4 linked regions of the Macaca fascicularis genome follow. The main gene of each other region encodes a partner of the protein of the gene in region 4 in a complex. Links are inferred from orthologs where the notes say so. Each region holds a gene or a part of one and is shown on either strand. Other genes may lie near its edges.

Region 1 (4,959 bases), on a different chromosome or scaffold from region 4:
ACCAAATAAGCTTTTGAGAGCAAGGACTACAATTTCTTATGTTTCTGTTTTCAACAGGGGTTCCTTAGAATGCTAGCATCCTAACAAATGCTTAAAGACTCCCCTTTCTTTTAAATGTTTTTAAAGTCAAAGCTGTCAAAAACACATAATTAACACTAAACTCCAACTTTTTAAATTCTAAATTGACCTATACGGTAATCGGAAAATAAACATTTTCATCTATATATTTTACAAGAGTTACTCCATCCTTAGTATCTGCATTATCAAAAATTCAAAAGTCATTTCAAAGAAAATCCTGGAAAGAAAATGAAAAGTCCCAAAATGTAGCATTATAATCTAGCATTATAGATCTCTGAAATAAAGCTAATAAATCAATTAGCTGAAATTGATTGACTGGTTTTCAAACTATATTACCAAGATGTAAAACATACAAACACTCCAGTACCACAAGAGGCTCTTAAGTAGTTATTATAAGATTTGTATCATCATAGCTGAAAATTACCCCGGAATTTTAAAATATTTTTCAAATGACTCCATGAAGCGCTTAGAAAGCACGACCCTTCCCTGAAAGATGCATAATCAGCTGTCCTCTTTTCCTACCCCGGCATTCTCTACTTGCAAACCACCGGGGGAAAAAAAAAATTAACTTTGAAAAATAATCTCCCATTCAGCTATTACCTAGACTACCCTGTTTCAGGCTAGTTCCCAAAGCCAACACGAAATGAAATCTTGAGTTCAACTAAAAGTGATCATTTTATGTTGCCTAAGAATATAATCAATTTCACATAACATACATGTTTTTTGTGTGTGTCAGTTCTTAAAATCTCAGTTTTTTAGTTCTCTTCGTTCTTCTAAGCAACACAGTAATTTCTTTGCCCTCATGATGACCCTCTTTCCCACAATAAGGAAACAACATAGATATTTTTGTTAAATTCTGAAAGTATGTTTAAACAAGCTGTCATTAAACACCACATGAACTTCTCCATAAATAGAGATACACTGGAACATTAGATACTTAGTATATACTAAACATTCAAAAGCATACTTCTCAGCACAAACCCAGGACAAGAGTAGTCTATCTACAACCCTGAACACAGTCCAAATATCCCTATTATTTGCAGGACCACAGCCATCTGCAAAAGCCAAAATGGAAAGGACTAAATCCACATTCTTCTAACTAAATCCACAGTTATCTAAATGTGATGGAAACTAACGCAAGAGTATTTTAAATCGTCCTTTTTAAGGAACCCCCCAGAACATTTAACAGGAGCGCAACAGTACTCCAAAATTGAACTTAAATGTAATGAGCCAGTGACAACATTTAACTTACTATTTGGCACTATGACAAAACAAATCTCAATCAAAACCTGGACCTATTAATACTTCCATGTTACCTTTTGATTAAATATAAATTATACGGTGGCAGGTTGGTAATGTCAAAACAGGAAGGTTAAGAGAGAACACATCAAACCACTAATCCAATCGAACACAAATGCATACAGAGATGCTACTGCTGCTGGGTATTTATTGGCTCCCACTAGTCCCTTCTAAAGAGAGAAATCAATGACAGCCTCCAAATGTGAATGGTTACTGAGCAAGTTCATCCACAGATTAAGAACAAATACTATGTGTAGTCATACAGACAAGAAAAAAATGTTGGGAGGGTGGGACGTTTAATGTCTCTATTAAGTATACCAAACTATGATAAATCCTGAGACCTAAAATACCCTCTTATTCCAAAAGACATACATTCTGCAAATGTGCACAATGGTTTATTAATCAAATCTTGTCCTTCTCTTTATTCTAAAGGATGGGCAAGTAAACACGGTCATCACTAACGTGGAAACACTCAAGCACTTGATGAAACTGACTACCAACAGCAAGAAAAGTATAAGAAAGCAGTTTCAAATCGAATCATCCAAATAAAAATCATATTATCTCAATTCAAGGTTAATGAGACCGGGGGAGGGGGTATGGGAGGAGTAAAGAGGGAGCTGCTTCATCCTTGACTGAAGATAGGTTTTGCCCTTTTCCATTGCTTGTTTGTTATATTAGGAAGTCTAATATTTTCAGATCCTGGTATTCCGAGATTTCTTATTTTAAGGGCGAAGTGGAAAAGGGGCGTAAAATAAAATCAATACTCACTGCTAACTTTCATGCTGCCAAAAGCTGAAGGCTGCTGCACCGGCTTGCAGCTCTCCGCAAAGGAGGTGGTTCTGGGCCGCCCTGACATGATCACTCTCTTCGCGAATCACCTTTTCCTTCCTTCCTCCTTTTCTTCCTTTTGTCTTTATGTTGGGGTGTTAGGTTAATGATAAATGCAGCATTAAGTTCTCCCACAGAAGAAAAAGAAAAAGACTTCGTCCTCTTGGTTTTTCACTCCTTTTGTATACTATAAAAAACAAAACAAGCGATGTATTTCTCCTTCAAGACAGATCGGCACGGATATTTAACATATAGATGATTTACGGCTGGGGAAAAAATACAATTCCTTCCCCTCCCTTTCCTGGGAGGAGAGAAAAGAAGGGGCAAATCCTAAAAAAATATGTATCACGTGAAACAGGGGCAAATACTTGATTGAAAATGAGTACTTCGAATATTATATTTTCCTCGGGGATTTTTTTTCCGAGTCAATGAAGAAGGGAAGCGGCGGAAGGATCACGAGTCTCACGCTTGAAGAGAAAGGGGGATGGGTAGGAGGGAGGGAGAGGGAGGGAGGGGGTGGCTCGGAGATGCGACGGGAAACGCTGCAGCTCCGGCAGCCGTGGGATCCGGCGGGCTGACGGCGGGGGCCCGGCGAACTGGAGGGCGGCGGAGTCGCGAGTCAGTCAGAGGCGGGCGGTGGCGGCGGCTCCTCTCCTCATTGCGCCAGGAGCAGCTGCAGGCGGCGGCTGGATCCAGCGGCCATGGCGGCGGCGGTGGCGGAGGCAGCTCCCTTCAGACCCCAGGCAGCGGCTCCTCGACTGCTCCCCATACGCCGGGGACATGGGAACCCGGCAACCGCTTCCGTCCCTCGGGGCCCCCTCCCCCGTCCGCGGCAACAGCTCGGCCGCCCTCCCGCCCCTCGCCTCTGTTCGGTGCCCGCTCAGGAAGTGTCCGCGCTTTGCCCCCAGCCCAGAACCCTGTCAGCGGCTGCGGGGCCGGCTCCTCCTCGCTTCCTTCCTTCCTTCCTTCCTTTGTCACTCGGCCCGGGCGGCGGCGGCAGCGGCGGCACAAGCCCGCATTCGCCCGGGTCAGGGGCTGCTCTGTGTGAGAAGCGCTGTCTGCGCAGCCGCCTTGCACTTCCCCACTCCCCCTCCCCCTTCCTACTCTTCCTCCACCTCCTTCCTCCCCCACCCAGCCTTACACCGCCCAGCGCACCGCCGCCCGCGTAACAGGCGTCTGGGAATCGCCGCCCGAGCCCCACTCTCGCCCGCTTCGGCTGGGAGCCGAAGCCCGAACGGAGCCAATCACGGACGTCGTTTGTTTGCGGCTCCTCCCGGAAAAAGCCGATCGGCCTGAGAAACCAATTAGAAAGTGACGCTGGAAAGCCACGCCCAAAGAGCGGAAAATGCCGAAGGCAGCCGAACGGAAAGGGTGATTTCGCCTGGTTCGGTGGCTGGCTGGAGGAGACATTCGACAATGGCAACAGTGGCCAATCAGAGTCGCCGGCCCTCACGAAAAAGCTTGAAGAGTTGAAGACGGTGAAACCCAGAGACGCTGGTGAAACTGCACGGTTGGGCGCCGCCGCCGCTTTGTAATTGGCTGGAAAACTCCGCTGGGAGCGTACCTCCCTCGGTGATTGGTGAAGGGAAGGGGGCTTCCGAGGACAGTTTGGCCAGTCAGGACTCCCCCTCCCTCTCCAAGGTGGGGAAAAGAAAGCGAAGGGAGGGCGTCTATAAAGCGCCGTCTCATTGGCCGGAAGCTTAGGCGCTGGAGTTGGGGCAAAAGGGAGAGGGTGGAGCTCGAAACTCGCGGCGGTGGCCAATCGGCTCTCACTGCCGTCCAATCGCAAGACCTAGCTGCGGTGTGATTGGCCTTCGGCCTTCGTCCCAGGACCTGGGAGATGCCCGACTAGGGTCGTGGCTGACGACCCGACGGCTCGCCTGCGGCCTCCAACTACGGTGGAAACCGCAAATAGGGACCGCCTGCCCTAGGCGCAGCAAATCGGAAAGTGCTGCGGTCGGCGGCGCTGGGTTCTAAGCGCTCAAGCGAGCAGAGGGGTCGAGGGGTTCTCCCCATCCACAGGAGGCTCTCGGCGGGGCGCAGCCAATTCTGCGCGCCTAAGGCTCTCCTCTGCCCTGGATCGCGTGTGCCGGGTGTCGGCCTCTTCCCCGAAAGGGCCTGACGGACAAAGGGGGCCTTCCCAGCCGGCAGCAAGCTCTCAGACGCTAAAATGGGAACAAAGCTTCTTTGGGCGGCCGCGCCCCGCCCAGCCTCGGGGGCCATTGATAGAGAGGCCCGCTGCGCTTGGTGTGCGCGGCCCGGCCGGGCCTCTGGAAACGCCCATGAGAAATGAGCTCATGCTGGATGCGCGCGCTCCTTGGGCGCAACTGCCCAGCGCAAAACGGGCCCCGAAAGCAGGTGAGGGGAAATGCCGTCAGGCCGGATATCCTGAAGCCTCCAAGGAAATGGGGGGTTAGAGGAGCCCGTGGTAGTTTTGGATCTTTTGGAATTAGGGTGATCTATAAAAGTGCAGCTTGAATAGATTTCATATGTAAGACCAGCGTCCATTGTTCTACGATAGAACCAGTTCCTTTGGTCTGCTTTAGAACAGTGAGGTATGGCTACGTCAAGAGAGAGAAAGTAGAACAGACAGTTGCCATCCTGATTGTAATCCAGTGTTTCCTGTAATTTCTACCTGCAGAATCATCTCTTTCAGTTAGGATACTGTCTCCAGAAAGCACAAGTAAAAGGACCTAAATTTGATCAGATTACCTGGCTCTTGCTTTGAAACACTGATGAAGGACTTGGGACAGA
Region 2 (5,077 bases), on a different chromosome or scaffold from region 4:
AAAAAGGCCGGGCACGGTGGCTCATGCCTGTAATGCTAAAACTTTGGGAGGCTGAGGTGGGCGGATCACCTGAGGTCAGGAGTTCAAGACCAGCCTGGCCAACATGGTGAAACCTCGTCTCTACTAAAATATAAAAATTAGCCAGGCATGATGGTGGGTGCCTATAATCCCAGCTACTCAGGAGACTGAGACGGGAGAGTTGCTTGAACCCAGGAGACAGTGGTTGCAGTGAGCCAAGACTGTGCCACTGCACTCCAGCCTGGGCGGCTGAGCAAGAATCTGTCTCAAAAAAAAAAAAAAAAAAAAAAAAAACCTTCCAAAAAAAGGCTTCGGTCCTCAACCAAGTCTCTACTTTTATACTTGCCTTTAGTTTTCACTAATTCATTTCCAGAAGACTGTCCTTTCTTGAGTAAAAACACCCATTAGAGGCCAGGCATAGTGGCTCACACCTGTAATCCCAGCACTTTGAGAGGCCAAAGTGGGTGGATTACCTGAGGCCAGGAGCTGGCCAACATGATGAAACCCTGTCTCTCCTAAAAATACAAAAATGAGCCGGGCACGGTGGTGCACACTATAATCCCAACTACTCCGGAAGCCGAAGTAGGAGAATCGCTTGAACTCAGGAGGCGGAGGTTGCAGTGAGCCGAGATTGCGCCACTGCACTCCAGCCTGGGCGACAGAGTGAGATTCCACCTCAAACAAACAAAAAACAACAAAAAACAAAACCACCCACCATTAGATCAAACAAACAATGGAAGCTCCTCATTAGACTGAAAGCTCCCAAGGAGAGAGCAAGCTGGCGCTCCCATTCCCCTGTGCCTCATCTGGCACAAAATTCGGCACGAAGCAATCTGCTCAGCCTGACAGATCCCAAAGCCCAGCCTTGGGGTCATCTCTCCAATGGGTTCCCTGTGGTGGACTGGACTTGCCCCTTCTTCTTGACCACGACATCAAACCATGAACACTTACTCTGATCAACACCATGTCCTGGCCACACACCACACACTGACACTTAGGCATTAACAAATACTGTCAACTAAATGAATAAACATATAAAGCATCAGACTCTCTGCCCTGGTTGTTTCTCTCTCTCTTTCCACACACACCCTTGCCGCCAAATTAGGACACCTTGTCTAATTAACCCATTAGCCTAATATGGTCATAAGAGCCAGGATATATATCAACTTAATCCATTTGCTGTCAATGTGACAACACAGCCCAGTCACTACCAATCTGTCTCAGCATCATGTAGGATTCTTCCCAACATAACACAATCTCAGCATAGCTCAGTCCACTCTTAAGACAAATTACTGTGTATCACCATAACCTTTATAGAGTAGTCAGCCTCAATACTAATGACAATTACCATTCACCAAGAATTCACCATGTACCACACACCTGAACTAACCATTTCATTCTGTGATTTTCTCCATGTCACAGACGAGATCAAGACACAAAATTTAAATTAATTGTCCAAGATTGCACTGCTGACAACTAGAAGAACCTTGACTTAAAGCCAAGATAACTCCCAAGATAGTATCACCCTTCCCATGTCAAACAATCTTTCTAGCTAGAGTCCAGTTTGTTCAGTTCTTCTAAAACCCATGCTATCTCAACTTAATCCAGCCTGCCTTCAAAAAAGCAGAGGTTGGGCTGGGCGCAGTGGCTCACGCCTGTAATCCCATCACTTTGGGAGGCCGAGGCGGTCCGATCATGAGGTCAGTAGATCGAGACCATCCTGGCTAACACGGTGAAACTCCGTCTCTACTAAAAAATACAAAAAATTAGCCAGGTGTGGTGGTGGGTGCCTGTAGTCCCAGCTAGTGGGGAGGCTGAGGCAGGAGAATGGCGTGAACCCGGGAGGCGGAGCTTGCAGTGAACCGAGAATCAGCCACTGCACTCCAGCCTGGGCGACAGAGCGAGACTCTTGTCTTTAAAAAAAAAAAAAAAAAAAAAAAGCAGAGGTTGAGGACCCAGAGAGGGCTCAGCCCCAAAGACCATAAACACAAAAGGGCTTTCTCTGCATTATTTACATGCCAATCTAGTCCAAGATAGCCCTGAATGTCCAAATTACCCTAGGATAGCCCAATCTATTCTAGCACAGCCTACAATGTCCCCACACGCAGCTGTCTGCACCAATATAGACTAGAATACCCCAATACAGCTACCTGTACTAGCATGGGCACCAACAGCCTTGTCTGCCCCCATACTGAGTGCTCCAATAAAACCATGTCTTGCCCCAAGATAAACCAGGATTAACCAATACAGCCCAGTAGAGTCCATAATGGCCCAAGTTTGTTTTGTTTTGTTTTTTGGTGTTTTTTTTTTTTTGGAGATGGAGTCTTGCACTGTCGTCCAGGCTGGAGTGCAGTGGCGCGATCTCGGCTCACTGCAACCTCCGCCTCCCAGGTTCAAGCGATTCTCCCTGCTTCAGCCTCCCAAGTAGCTGGGACTACAGGCGCCCGCCACCACGCCCGGCTAATTTTTTTGTATTTTTAGTTAGTACAGATGGGGCTTCACCGTGTTAGCCAGGATAGTCTCGATCTCCTGACTTCGTGATCCGCCCGCCTCGGCCTCCCAAAGTGCTGAGATTACAGGCGTTACAGGACTCCTGAGAACGTACTAAACGACCAGACGATAGATGAATTTACTCAGTACAGTCTAAAACACTCCAAAATAAACCAGTATGCCTCCACCTATTCCAGTAGAGCCTAATCGTCTCTAATCTGGTTTAGGATATCCTAGTCTGCCCGTGTGCCTCAATCTATCCAAGCATAACCTTGTCCATCCTGGGAGAGTCAACCTACCTCAGCATGGTACAATCTGCTCCACCACAGGCCAGAAAATCCTAGTGTGGCCCGAAGTAGATGTGTGCCCCTCCACGTCGCCCAATCCACTCTAGCAAAGCCCCCGTCGGTCCTATCTAGGCCTTGCGCTCACCCGAAATCCTGATCCATAGACTTGAAAAAGTACTTGGCGCCCGCGGGCCGCTGCAGGACGCTCTTGAAATCGCCGAGGGTGATGCGCTCGGCGGGGACAGGGATCTTCACCAGGTATGGAGTCTCTTCCTCATCCAGGTGGTAAATCACCTTCGTCTCCCCAACCCCACCGCCCCCAGCGCTGCTGCCCGCCATGGTCTCGCCCGCGCGCTCCCGGGCTCCACCGCCCACCCAAGGGGCTAATGGCCCCTGCCGCGCCTGCGCACACCCGCAAACCGACGAGCGAGCGCGGACAGGACGGACCCAGTACTGGAGAGAAGCAAAGGGAAAAAAGCAGGGGTCGGCAAGGGTGGCGGCGGGGGGCGGGCCGCGAGGTGCGACTCAAAGCCGCGGTCTCAGCGGCCGCCGCGCGCCACCGCCACCGACAACGCGAGCGTCCTCCAGGTCCCCGCCCACCTCTCCTCATGTCACGTGACCTAAGCCCGCCCACCCCGCGCTCTTCAGCCGCCCCCGTCACGTGACCCCTCCCAGTCACGTGACCGCGTGACTCCTCCTAGTGCCCCCGCCACGTGATCGCTGCCTTCGGCAACGGTCTCCCAGCCCCCAAAGGTGTACCCCAGCCGAGGTCCTCGGAGCACCCAGGATAAGCTGGCCTGTGCCCTCAGGAAGCGGACAGTCGGCTCCCACCCGGCTTTACCCCACACCGGCGGGAGCGCGAAGCAACTCTGACCCTCAGGAGTGTGCGTGCAGGGAGTGAAGGTGGGGATTGTGGGGGTTCCTAGACTCGAGTGGGGAGGGCCAAATACAATGAAAGCTCTGAGGTGGCTTACTCAAGTATCTTGGGGTGGGAGAGGCCCAGTGCTGTGCCATCTTCAGACTGGACTGTGAGAGGTGGCTTTCAGCACCACGTCCAGCTAGTCTTCAGCCACCAAAGCCTCCCTCCCAAGCAGGACAGTGAGGGCTATAAACACAAAAGAGCCCACTCTGCTTTATTTACAACACGCAGGCTGTCTGTACAAACAGCGGCCAATATTATTAAAAACAAAAGAGGTGAGTGAGAATCGTCACCTTTCTGCTTTCCTTCCTTGCTTGGCCAGGCTCTAGTACTCCACCTTTGAGCTGCCATGCCCAGTAGGGGAAGTCCAAAATTAAAAATACAACCGGTGTAGAAGAAAATAAATGGGGAGTGAAATAGAAGAAAAGATGAGGGAGGGGAGTGCTAATATTTACACTAGAGTTTTATAGACAACTGTCCCATTCCATCCCAATTCCAATCCTGACCCAGAAAGTGATGGTGGCAGGTCCAAGAGACAGAGATTATGTGTCTAGAGACACAGACAGCCTCCCACCCGCAACCGTAATGGGTTCAATTTCAAGTTCAGAGTGGGGAGGACGGATAGGGTAGGCAAGTGAGACACTCATTTTCAAACAAGTCTCCCTTGGGAATTCCTGCCTTGAAGTGCGGACAGTATCCAAGCTCCAGGGGGTAGGCTGAGGACCCTGAGGCTCAGTTCCCAAATCATGTTATCATTTGGAAGTTCCAGGCTAAAGTTGGTGCCGTCAGGGCTCTCCAGATTTGGGAGGCCCCCCTAACCGCCGGGCCTCTGGCCTCAGTTCCTTGCATTTCTGGCAATAAAAGAAGTCAGGGACGTTGGTCTTCTTAATCTTAGCACAGGAGAGGTGGATCCACGTCCCACACAGGCTGCACTCAATCATGGGCCGCCCTGCAAAGGGCTTTCGACAGTAACACGTGATCAGATCCCATGAGTCATCACCTGGGGAAAAAAGGTTTGTTTGGTATTCTGCCTGAGCAGTTGTTGGATCCACAACACCCTCAAACCCCTCGCCCCAGCCCAAACCTCTCACCTGATTCTACCATGATGTCCTCATCCATGACCCGCATCTCGCCTTCACTGGAGCTGGCATCTCCATCTTGGCTTGTTTCAGTGCTGCCCACCTCCTTGCTTTCACTGTCAGTAGGAGGGACTCCTTCAGGGTGCACTGTGGCAGGGGGCCTAGGAGCCTCGGGGGGTGTTGGGAGCACAGGGGCTGGGGCTTCACCCCCTACCACTGTTGCCATCTCTTCCTCTTCTTCCTCTTCCTCTTCCTCCTCCTCCTCTTCAGAGTCTGTATCACTG
Region 3 (3,693 bases), about 43 Mb from region 4:
ACCACTTAAACCCGGGAGGTCGAGGTTGCAGTGAGCCAAGATCACACCACTGCACTCCAGCCTGGGCGACGAGTTAAACTCCGTCTCAAAAAAAAAAAGAACAAAGGCTCCACAAGCACATTATAACCAGTTCAAAAGATAATATTGACATAAGGATGAGACTACACAATCATCTTTTCTGAAAATGGATAATAGAAATAAACTCTTATCCAAAATTATCCAGAATCAGTGGTGGGATAAGGGTGAAGTCCAAATTTTCATTAACTTTCTAGGCTTACAGTACCAATACAAACCACACAAAATTATCTTTCACTATTCAGAAGGCAATTTCAGAATCTTGCCATGTGCCTCAAAGTAATTAGCAAGTTAACTACATGGTACTAAAGGCATAATGGTAGCTAACATTCACTGGATGCTGATATGAACAAAGCACTGTTTGAGGTAACATACCTGTACCCCATTAAAACTTTTTAAGTAGCTACCATAATTTAACCCCACTTTACACATTAGGAAACTGGGGCCCAAGGTCACACAGCTGGTTAGTGGGGTAGAGCCGAGACTGGCACTTAGGTGCCTGAAGTCTGGCTGCAGAACCAAGGCTCTTAACCACTAGGCTATGAAATAGTAAATTTATTATTTCATTGTGCTTTTTTAAAGAGGTGAAAAGTGGTCAGCATTTTAGTCATTCTCCTGACAGTTGTAAGAATCAAAATGTGGGCAAGAGGGGCAGAGCATGGGAAAGACTGTAATCCAGAAGCCATATACCCAGTTATTTGCTGTGATTTAGAGTATAACTCTACCACACTTAAAAATGACAACACACAGCTTTCTGCTATATAATTAAAGTACGGAATGAAACAGGAAAATAACTTTGGATTTTATCAAACTTAGAGCTAAAGCAGACACAGTAAGATTTTTTTAATTTGCCAGAAATTCTTTTAATGAGAATTATAAAAGACCAAAAACATTTTTTTGCAAACTGCCTTTTTAAACAAATGATTTGCTTTTAATTACAAATACTGTGCATGACGATGCCTTCTTTTGCAAAACCAATAAATACAAGAACAAATTTTAAACATGTGATTTATCCAAGATATTTGAAAAAGGAAACAAAAGCCTGATTTGCAGTACTTATAAAAATCAATTTATTCTCTAACCTTTCAAAGATTAAGCTCAAAGGTGTGACTCATCCGTAGAAGAGAGAAAGAGAGAGACCATCTTACAGATGCTTTAAATAGCTTTTGATCATTTTTCCGATGTCACCTTTACTTTCTGGAACTCATAGCTTCACAAAGTAGCTGATTTTAAAATATTTCTAATGAACTGATTAATGGGGGAAAAGAAAATATTGAACACATGTTACAAACTTTTACCATAACAAGTATGCATATCAAAAGACACTAACTTTAAAATGGTACAAAAAAAGTGAAGAAAAACCTGAATTACAGAAAGGAAAGTCAAATTTATTTAATGAAAAACTAAAATTAATAAAAATTAGCAAATACACACACAAAAAAGCACACAGCAGCACTATGTATTGACTCACAAAGGGGAAAAGCAGTGGCCCATGACCACTCAAGATGGCTTGTCAGTTAAAGGAGAAAAACCCAAACACGCACACACCCACGCACGCACACACTCCCACGCAAAAACAAAACAAAATAACTATTTTTCAACAATACAATCAATCTACAACAAACACAAAACTCAGAATTATTTTACAATGCTTCCTTTCTTAATACAAAAGATGCCCATCTTGGGTGTATATACATATATTTTTTCAGTGGTTTACTGTTGACTTATTTTTAAATATATTAGTGTTACTACATGCAACTGTTTCCTGTATTTAACAGCCTTTCCTTTCATTTACCTTCATGTGTCTAGCTTCCACCTACCAAAAGAATTTTAGGTTGGCAGGCAGATGGGTGCCTTATTTTCTGTGAAACTGAAGTTTTAAACACTGGCCAGAAAATGTTTGATTGCCATTTCAACACATGGAAATAGTTACATTGATGCCTAAATTGCCATTTTCTGCAAAAAGCTGTGCAATGCTGGTGTCAAAGACTAGGCAGTCGCTATTCATAATGGCTGTTGCAATTCCTTCATGAATAGATCGAGGAGTCGCTTCCCAAGTCAATCGTCGCCTGTGACCATTTAGCTCAAGTCGGTAAGCAAAATTTTCAGCTTGCTTGCGTGTTCCTATCAGCTGTACAATTGCAAAGAACTGCTGGTGACCATCGTATTTTTCCTGTTTCTCCAAGACTAACATGAAGTGAAAGCCAAAACAGGACTGCATCATCACCCAGTCAACAGCACCAGGAAGATTAATGTCTGTAGCAAGGAAAACTATATCCTCTCCCTGTAGGGTTGTAATGGACTTATGCTGATGCATCAGATGGGGCATTACAGCATCCAAAGAGCCTTGCCATTTACAGGAAGCACCAGGGCACGGACAGGAATAAGGCCTAAACTCACAGAGCTCTTCGTGGTCTGCTTTTTCTGTGTGTGGCAGAGTTATTTCACATCCAGAAGAGGCATATTTACAGGGGAAAAGTACTGAATTAGCCACTTTCTCCATAGCCAAGTTGCGAATGGATCCCAAAGGGCCCCGGCAAGTTGGACAACATGTGAGCTTTGGGCGACAGTTGCTACAAACAAGATGGCCACTCTGACATTGAAGAATGGGTGGTAACACATAGTCAAAGCAGACTGGACACTCAAAAAGACTCGCCAAGTCATTGTTGGATGCAGTTGTGCCAGTCAGGGCAGGTACCCTCTGGGATGGTGGACACTTCGAGGTACCGGTAGGTAATGCTGTAGCAGTCTGACGGCTCATTTCTGAAATAAATACATAAGGAGGCAGGAGAAAAATAATTATAACCATGACTTATTTTACAAATAATGTTTACATGCCAGAAGTACTTAAAGTTTCATGCAAAATTTACTGAGCAAAAGAGAAAGAAAAATAAATAGAATTTAAAAAGTAACATACTAAAAAATAAAATTACACTGAATGTGCACTTTATTAGGATCTGTACACTGGATAAGCTCTCTTTTCAAAATATTCCGGAAAACATTTGGAACTCCCTTAATCGTCTTTGGATAGACTACATGGAATAATAAATGCTAAAATAGAAGATGGACCATAAACAACTAGAGAAACTATACAAGGAACTGAAGTTTAATCGAATCCGTTTTGCTAGGACTCTCTCCCTGAGACTCCCTTACTCTTATTTCTTTCTAATTTGGAGTCAGCTATTGATAGGTATAGGGAGTTACAGGTGAAGTCCTGGATAAAATCGGCACTCTGTATTCACACGGTCTGCATCCAAGGACTTCACCACAGCCATGGATTGAAAATATTCAGAAAAATTTACAAATAATACAAAATTTTTAAAATACAGTCTATAACAACTATTTACGTATTATTTACATTGTATTAAGTAATCCAGAGATAATTTAAATTATACAGGAGAATATGCACATACATATACGACACCATTTTCTATCAGGGACTTGAGCATCCTCAGGTTTTGGTATGGGGAAGGGGGTCCTAGAACTAATCTTCCGAGGATACCGCAGGACAAGTGTAGTTCCAATGCCAAAGAATCAGAGAACCTTCCATTAACTCTTCTTAATGGTAAACCATTATCTACTCTAGAGGTGTACTTTGGGAATGAGGGGAGGGGTCAC
Region 4 (5,011 bases):
CTGTCCTAGACGCCCCATGGTGCACCCATTGCAAGGAGATGGCCCCTGCCTGGGAGGCGCTGGCTGAGAAGTACCAAGACCATGAGGACATCATCATTGCTCAGCTGGATGCCACGGCCAACGAGCTGGACGCCTTCGCCGTGCACAGCTTCCCTACCCTCAAGTACTTCCCAGCAGGGCCAGGTCGGAAGGTATGGGGGACAGGTGCCTGGGGAAGCTGGGATGCCATCCTCCTGGGCATGGGGCTGGGCCTGGCCTGTCCTCCAGAGCCTCCTGCCTCTCCTCAGGTGATTGAATATAAAAGCGCCAGGGACCTGGAGACCTTGTCCAAGTTCCTGGACAACGGGGGCGCGGTGCCCACGGAGGAGCCCACGGAGGAGCCGGCAGCCCCGTTCCCGGTGGGTGTCCCTAAGCCAGGGCTCCAGGCCTCTGCACAAACCGTCTTTACACGGGGCTGGTGGGGCGGGGGCAGGGGTAGGCTGGGAGCAGAGCTCCGAGCTGTACTTGTGACCCGTTCTAGGAGCCACGGGCCAACTCAACCGTGGGGTCCAAGGAGGAGCTGTAGCTACCCCCGTGTCACTCCCCTCCTCACCGCTGGACAGGAGGGCACCTCCTTGGGTGCTGGAGGGAGCTGTGCATTGTGAATAAAGAGCTTGGTTCTGGACTGTGTGTGCCTGATCCCTCAGCAAGGCTGGCCTGATGCAGCTCTGCCCAGACGCGGGCTCCTGGGAAGGAAGGTGGAGCACGTTCATGCTCTAGCTTGGCCAGCCTCTGAGTCACAGGACGACCCCCATGCCTGCTGGAGGCCAGCATGACCTTAACCACAGGGGCTGAGGCTGGGAGACCCAGGCCAGGCCCCACTGGCAGCAGACACACCACAGCCAGGGCAGGTTCAAAAACAGTTTTATTTATTATCCAAGTACCTTTGAAAAGATAATTGTACAAGTGTCATCGCATGAAAAACAGACCTGGGCAGCCCCTGCTGGCCCTGGCCTGAGAAATGTACATATTTACATGGGCCCTCAGAAAGGAGGACCCGGGACCGCGCAGCCGGCAGCTGGAGGCAGGTGCAGTACCCCGTCGCCGGCTCACACAGTGGCAGGCAAGAGACAAGCTGTGTTGAAGGCACTCGGTGGCGAGTACAATTGACAGAGGCCCTGCAGGCCTCTGCGCCCAGGCCTGGGGCTGCGCCCAGCCAGACCAGGGTACGTGGGCAAATCCCAGAGGGAAAAACAGATCCCAGCACACGTGCCCAGGGGAGGCGCCGGGGCGTCGCTTGAAGCCGGCAGCAGGGACCCTGGCTGCCCCACTTGGGCTAGGCCCTCCAAGTATTGCTATGGGGAGTGTCCGGCTGCCTCCTCGGGGGCAGGACAGAAGCCTGTGGACCACGCGGAGGGACCCCTACCCACCCAGACACGGTCAGACTGCAGGGGTGGGCGGCGCCCCCACGCTGTTCTCTATCGGGCTCCTGAGTACGAGGTCATCCGCCTGGCTGTGACACCTGTGCCCACCGAGGGCCTCGCCTGGTGCAGCGGTCAGCCCGCCAGCTGGTCAGTCCACCTTCTCCACTTTGCCAATTATCTTCTCCTCAAAGACGGGCAGGACGGCCTCATCCTCTCGAACCTCCTCGAACACCACCCCACAGTCAAACTCGTCGCTCACTTTCTTGAAGTAGTATCTGCAGGATGGAGGTGAGGAGCACAGTGAGCAGGCAGTGCCGCAGATGGGAGGAGGCCTGTGGCGGGGACGGCGTGTCCACACCCCCATCCCCAGGAGCCTCCTGTCCATGCCCCACCGCCCCCACCACTCCCACCACGTGCGCCCCTCCCAGGGCAACAGTGAACAGTGCAATGACCGCATGTGGGTGAAGTGGCAGCTACAGGGGGTGAGTTTACTGCCTGCTGGGAGGCACCCTACAGCCCCCTAGGAGTACCTGCCCCAGCCTCTCAGGAGGTGCAGGGGGGAAGTGGATGGGTGTGGGGTATCTGCTTCCCAAGGGCTGAGCCCTGTCATGGAAGTGACCCCGACTGGGGCCCTCCCTCAGCACCACATCTGCAGACACAGTCCACGGGTGTCTGCAGTCGCTTGTGGACAGAGGGAACCACCTCTGCCAGGCTCTTGTGGTCAGGCCCCCTCTGCTCACCCCCCAGTGCTCACTCAGGAGCCTCCAAGACTGGCTGCAGGCAGGCCCTCAGGGCTGAGGGGCCCAGGCCCAATGAACGTTGGTAGGATGGGGCCTGGCTTTTCAGTTGGGCAAAAGGAGCTGAATCCAGAGCCTAGAGACAAGGCTGGCCCAGGGGAGCCCGACACAAGGTTCAGACCATTGTTGTCTGGGCCTCTGGCTGTTTTCTCACCCCGAAGCTGAGGGCCCTGGAAGGAGTCCCTTAGGGACCCTCTCAGTCCTGTGGGGCCGAAGGCCTGAGGCCATCCTCAGCCCAGGGCTTGGAGAACTGGCGTAGGTGCAGATGAGGGACAGGAGCTGAAACAGCCGGAAAGCCTTTTTTTTTTTTTTTTTGGATAGAGACGGAGTCTCGCTCTGTCATCCAGGCTGGAGTTCTGGGGAGCAGTGGTGCGATCTCGGCTCACTGCAACCTCCGTCTCCTGAGTTCAAGCAATTCTGCCTCAGCCTCCCAAGTAAATGGGATTACAGGCACCCGCCACCACGCCTGGCTAATTTCTTTTGTATTTTTAGTAGAGAGAGGATTTCACCATGTTACCCAGGCTGGTCTCGATCTCCTGAGCTCAGGCAATCTGCCGGTCTCTGCCTCCCAAAATGCCAGGATTACAGAAGTGAGGCACCATGCCTGGCTAGAAACCCTCTTTTTCGTACTGCTGGGCACCCACGCACCCCTGCAGGGAGTGGGCACCCCAGCCCTCACACTCACCTGTAGCTGCCCTTTTTGGTCAGCAGCTCCTTGAACTGGCCCAGGGTGACAGCGCGGCCCCTCACCAGGGTGCGGTAGGGGATAGGCTCCCCACAGAAGTAGTATGCCACAACGATGCTGTCACACGGCTGGGCACTCCCGCCGCCCGCCTTCCTCTGCGATCTCGTCCTGGGGAAAGAGATGCAGCAGTGGTCCCTGGTTTTGGACTGAGGTCCCACAGGGTGCCTCCTGCTGGCCTCAGGCTGCCAGCAAAGGGTGGGGCAGGCCTGCAAACACCTGGGGCCCCAGGCCCCACTGCCCCCCCGCCGCAGCATCTCAATCTGGGGTCTACTCCACCAGCAGTGGAGTCTGACTCCACTCACTGGCAGCACAAAGGTCTCCCCGCTGCCTCACAGCCCCACCCTCGACTGGACAGGGCCTGGCCACTGGGCGCACTGCAGCTCTCACCTCTAGGATGGCAGGGCAGGCTGCATGGCTCCTATGCCAGGAAGACCTACGGCCCCCAAACCTTAAAAACATCTCAAGGGCAGGGATTGGACAAACAGAACTATGCACGATTTCTGGATGAGCCTGACCCCACAGTGAAGTCTGTCCCAGGACTGTTGCGGGTGCGGCCAGCAGGCCCTTCAGAGGGGGTGGGGCTGGCACCGTCTCCTGCCCAGGCTGAGCTGGGCCCTCCTCTTACAGGGGCTGTGCTTCCACTCACACCCTCTGCTTGGCTCCCCTGCCACCACCTGTCCCTCAGATGACTCCAGAAGCTGCCCCTGGCCCACTGGGGTTCAGGCCTCGGGCCTCCTGCTGGCTGCGTGCACTAGAGGCTGCCAGAGTCGACATCATGGCAGGAAGGCCTCACGGCCACCTCAGCCAGGTGACCGTCCACTTCGCACACCAGGGCCCCCACCCACCTGCATTCTTGGACTTTCTCCCAGAGCCACATCCTTGCAGCCCCCTGGAGCCAGGCCCATAGGAGAATGAGCCAACATGTGGGGGCTGCCCCAAGGACGGGTGAAGGCCCCTCCAAGACCCCCTAGAGGATGACAGCCACAACAAACCTGCATCTGGGGCAAGCCTGGTAAGGCCTGGGGGACCCCTGTTCTCAAGGCCCCTTTTGGGATATGCCCCTCCTGCCACCTTGAGCACACAAAGGCGCCACTGACACAGCCCATGTGGGATCACGTGGTATGGACACAGTAAGCCTTTCTCACGGGCTCGGAGTGGTCAGCACTGCAGGTGGGAGCAGAGCCCTGACTCACGGACTGCACGGACTGGACAGACGCACATAGTTGAGACCCACACTGCAAGCTGACGCACCTCGCGCACCTCAACACCTGCAGCCCCGACCCTGCTCAAGCCAGGTCTGCGGGGACCAGCCAGTTCCAAGCCGGGTGGGGCCAGGGGCAGGGGTAGGTCTCTGCCCCACAAGGGGCCTCCCATGACACCTGTGTGGATACAGGGCTGGCTGTGCCCAGGCCTCCAGCCGGGCCTGTTGGTCACTTATCGTCATGCTGGACAGTCAGCATCTCCTCTGATGGAGACGGGAGAAGGCTCTTGGGCAGCTTGGAGTCTGATGCCGTGGGACCCTCTCCTGCCACAGCTGCTTCTCAGCGTGGTACCTGAGCTCAGGCCCCAGGACGGCAGCTCTACCATGGGACCTGGCTTGAGACGCCTGGGCTGGGTGGGCAGGACCAGGAGGACCCTCAGGACGCACGTACTCTGTCTCGGAGAGCTCCATGTCCGACACGGCTGGTACCACGCGCAGCACTGGCGCGCACGCTGGCCTGACGCAGGCGCGTCCCCGCCGCATAACCTCCTGCACATACCTAGGGAACAACCCGCGTCAATGGTGGCTGCGCCGGCGGCCACCAGCCCTGGGGAAGGAGCCTCGACCAATGCTGCCGCGCAGGGACAGACGGAGCATGAAGGGGCTGTACAACCTGCCCCGTGAAGGCTCCAGTTTGCAGGGTGGACAAGACACCAAACCCCCTCCTAGGCCTCAGTGGTGCCAGACACTGCAGCACACTCCACACTCACGATCTGGGTACCAACCCCCCTGTTCCCCAGACCGCACTTTGGGGAGCTTCTGATCTGGGGTCCTGGGATCCTACCACCTCATCCCCTCTGGTGGG

The links.
Region 1: the proteins of AXIN1 (region 4) and GSK3B are in contact, whole or in part, in a crystal structure (PDB 4B7T), measured with the Homo sapiens proteins. The link is inferred for Macaca fascicularis from reciprocal best matches to the Homo sapiens genes AXIN1 and GSK3B. Residues at the interface, in NP_003493.1 of Homo sapiens: Glu384, Pro385, Gln386, Phe388, Ala389, Glu391, Leu392, Ile393, Arg395, Leu396, Glu397, Val399, Gln400; in NP_001139628.1 of Homo sapiens: Ile228, Phe229, Val263, Asp264, Leu266, Val267, Ile270, Lys271, Asn287, Tyr288, Phe291, Lys292, Phe293, Pro294, Gln295, Ile296.
Region 2: the proteins of AXIN1 (region 4) and DVL2 are in contact, whole or in part, in a crystal structure (PDB 6JCK), measured with the Homo sapiens proteins. The link is inferred for Macaca fascicularis from reciprocal best matches to the Homo sapiens genes AXIN1 and DVL2. Residues at the interface, in NP_003493.1 of Homo sapiens: Arg821, Tyr823, Lys825, Lys826, Glu830, Phe831, Val835, Val836, Phe837, Glu838, Glu839, Lys857, Glu859, Asp862; in NP_004413.1 of Homo sapiens: Lys15, Ile17, Tyr18, Glu23, Glu24, Thr25, Pro26, Tyr27, Leu28, Val29, Val46, Leu47, Gln48, Arg49, Pro50, Phe81, Arg84.
Region 3: the proteins of AXIN1 (region 4) and SIAH1 are in contact, whole or in part, in a crystal structure (PDB 5WZZ), measured with the Homo sapiens proteins. The link is inferred for Macaca fascicularis from reciprocal best matches to the Homo sapiens genes AXIN1 and SIAH1. Residues at the interface, in NP_003493.1 of Homo sapiens: Pro378, Lys379, Glu380, Val381, Arg382, Val383, Glu384, Pro385, Gln386, Lys387; in NP_003022.3 of Homo sapiens: Cys130, Pro131, Ser154, Thr156, Leu158, Asp162, Ile163, Val164, Phe165, Leu166, Ala167, Thr168, Asp169, Val176, Asp177, Trp178, Val179, Met180, Asn272.

The regions. Positions count from the first base shown.
Region 1 is NC_088376.1:163,085,013-163,089,971, reverse strand, and holds the start of GSK3B (glycogen synthase kinase-3 beta), read right to left. Parts: upstream 3,252-4,959; 5' UTR 2,234-3,251; coding exon 2,146-2,233; intron 1-2,145. UniProt on the Homo sapiens protein: Constitutively active protein kinase that acts as a negative regulator in the hormonal control of glucose homeostasis, Wnt signaling and regulation of transcription factors and microtubules, by phosphorylating and inactivating glycogen synthase (GYS1 or GYS2), EIF2B, CTNNB1/beta-catenin, APC, AXIN1, DPYSL2/CRMP2, JUN, NFATC1/NFATC, MAPT/TAU and MACF1.
Region 2 is NC_088390.1:7,280,493-7,285,569, forward strand, and holds the start of DVL2 (segment polarity protein dishevelled homolog DVL-2), read right to left. Parts: upstream 3,390-5,077; 5' UTR 3,135-3,389; coding exon 2,941-3,134; intron 1-2,940. Other genes in the region: PHF23 (PHD finger protein 23), read right to left, coding at 4,500-4,714, 4,806-5,077.
Region 3 is NC_088394.1:44,266,220-44,269,912, forward strand, and holds the end of SIAH1 (E3 ubiquitin-protein ligase SIAH1), read right to left. Parts: intron 2,839-3,693; coding exon 1,988-2,838; coding exon of another isoform or gene 1,885-1,987; 3' UTR 914-1,884; downstream 1-913. Other genes in the region: LONP2 (lon protease homolog 2, peroxisomal), read left to right, coding at 1,885-2,004. UniProt on the Homo sapiens protein: E3 ubiquitin-protein ligase that mediates ubiquitination and subsequent proteasomal degradation of target proteins.
Region 4 is NC_088394.1:1,039,608-1,044,618, forward strand, and holds the end of AXIN1 (axin-1), read right to left. Parts: intron 4,706-5,011; coding exon 4,598-4,705; intron 3,054-4,597; coding exon 2,886-3,053; intron 1,679-2,885; coding exon 1,552-1,678; 3' UTR 887-1,551; downstream 1-886. Other genes in the region: PDIA2 (protein disulfide-isomerase A2), read left to right, coding at 10-191, 288-398, 521-565. UniProt on the Homo sapiens protein: Component of the beta-catenin destruction complex required for regulating CTNNB1 levels through phosphorylation and ubiquitination, and modulating Wnt-signaling.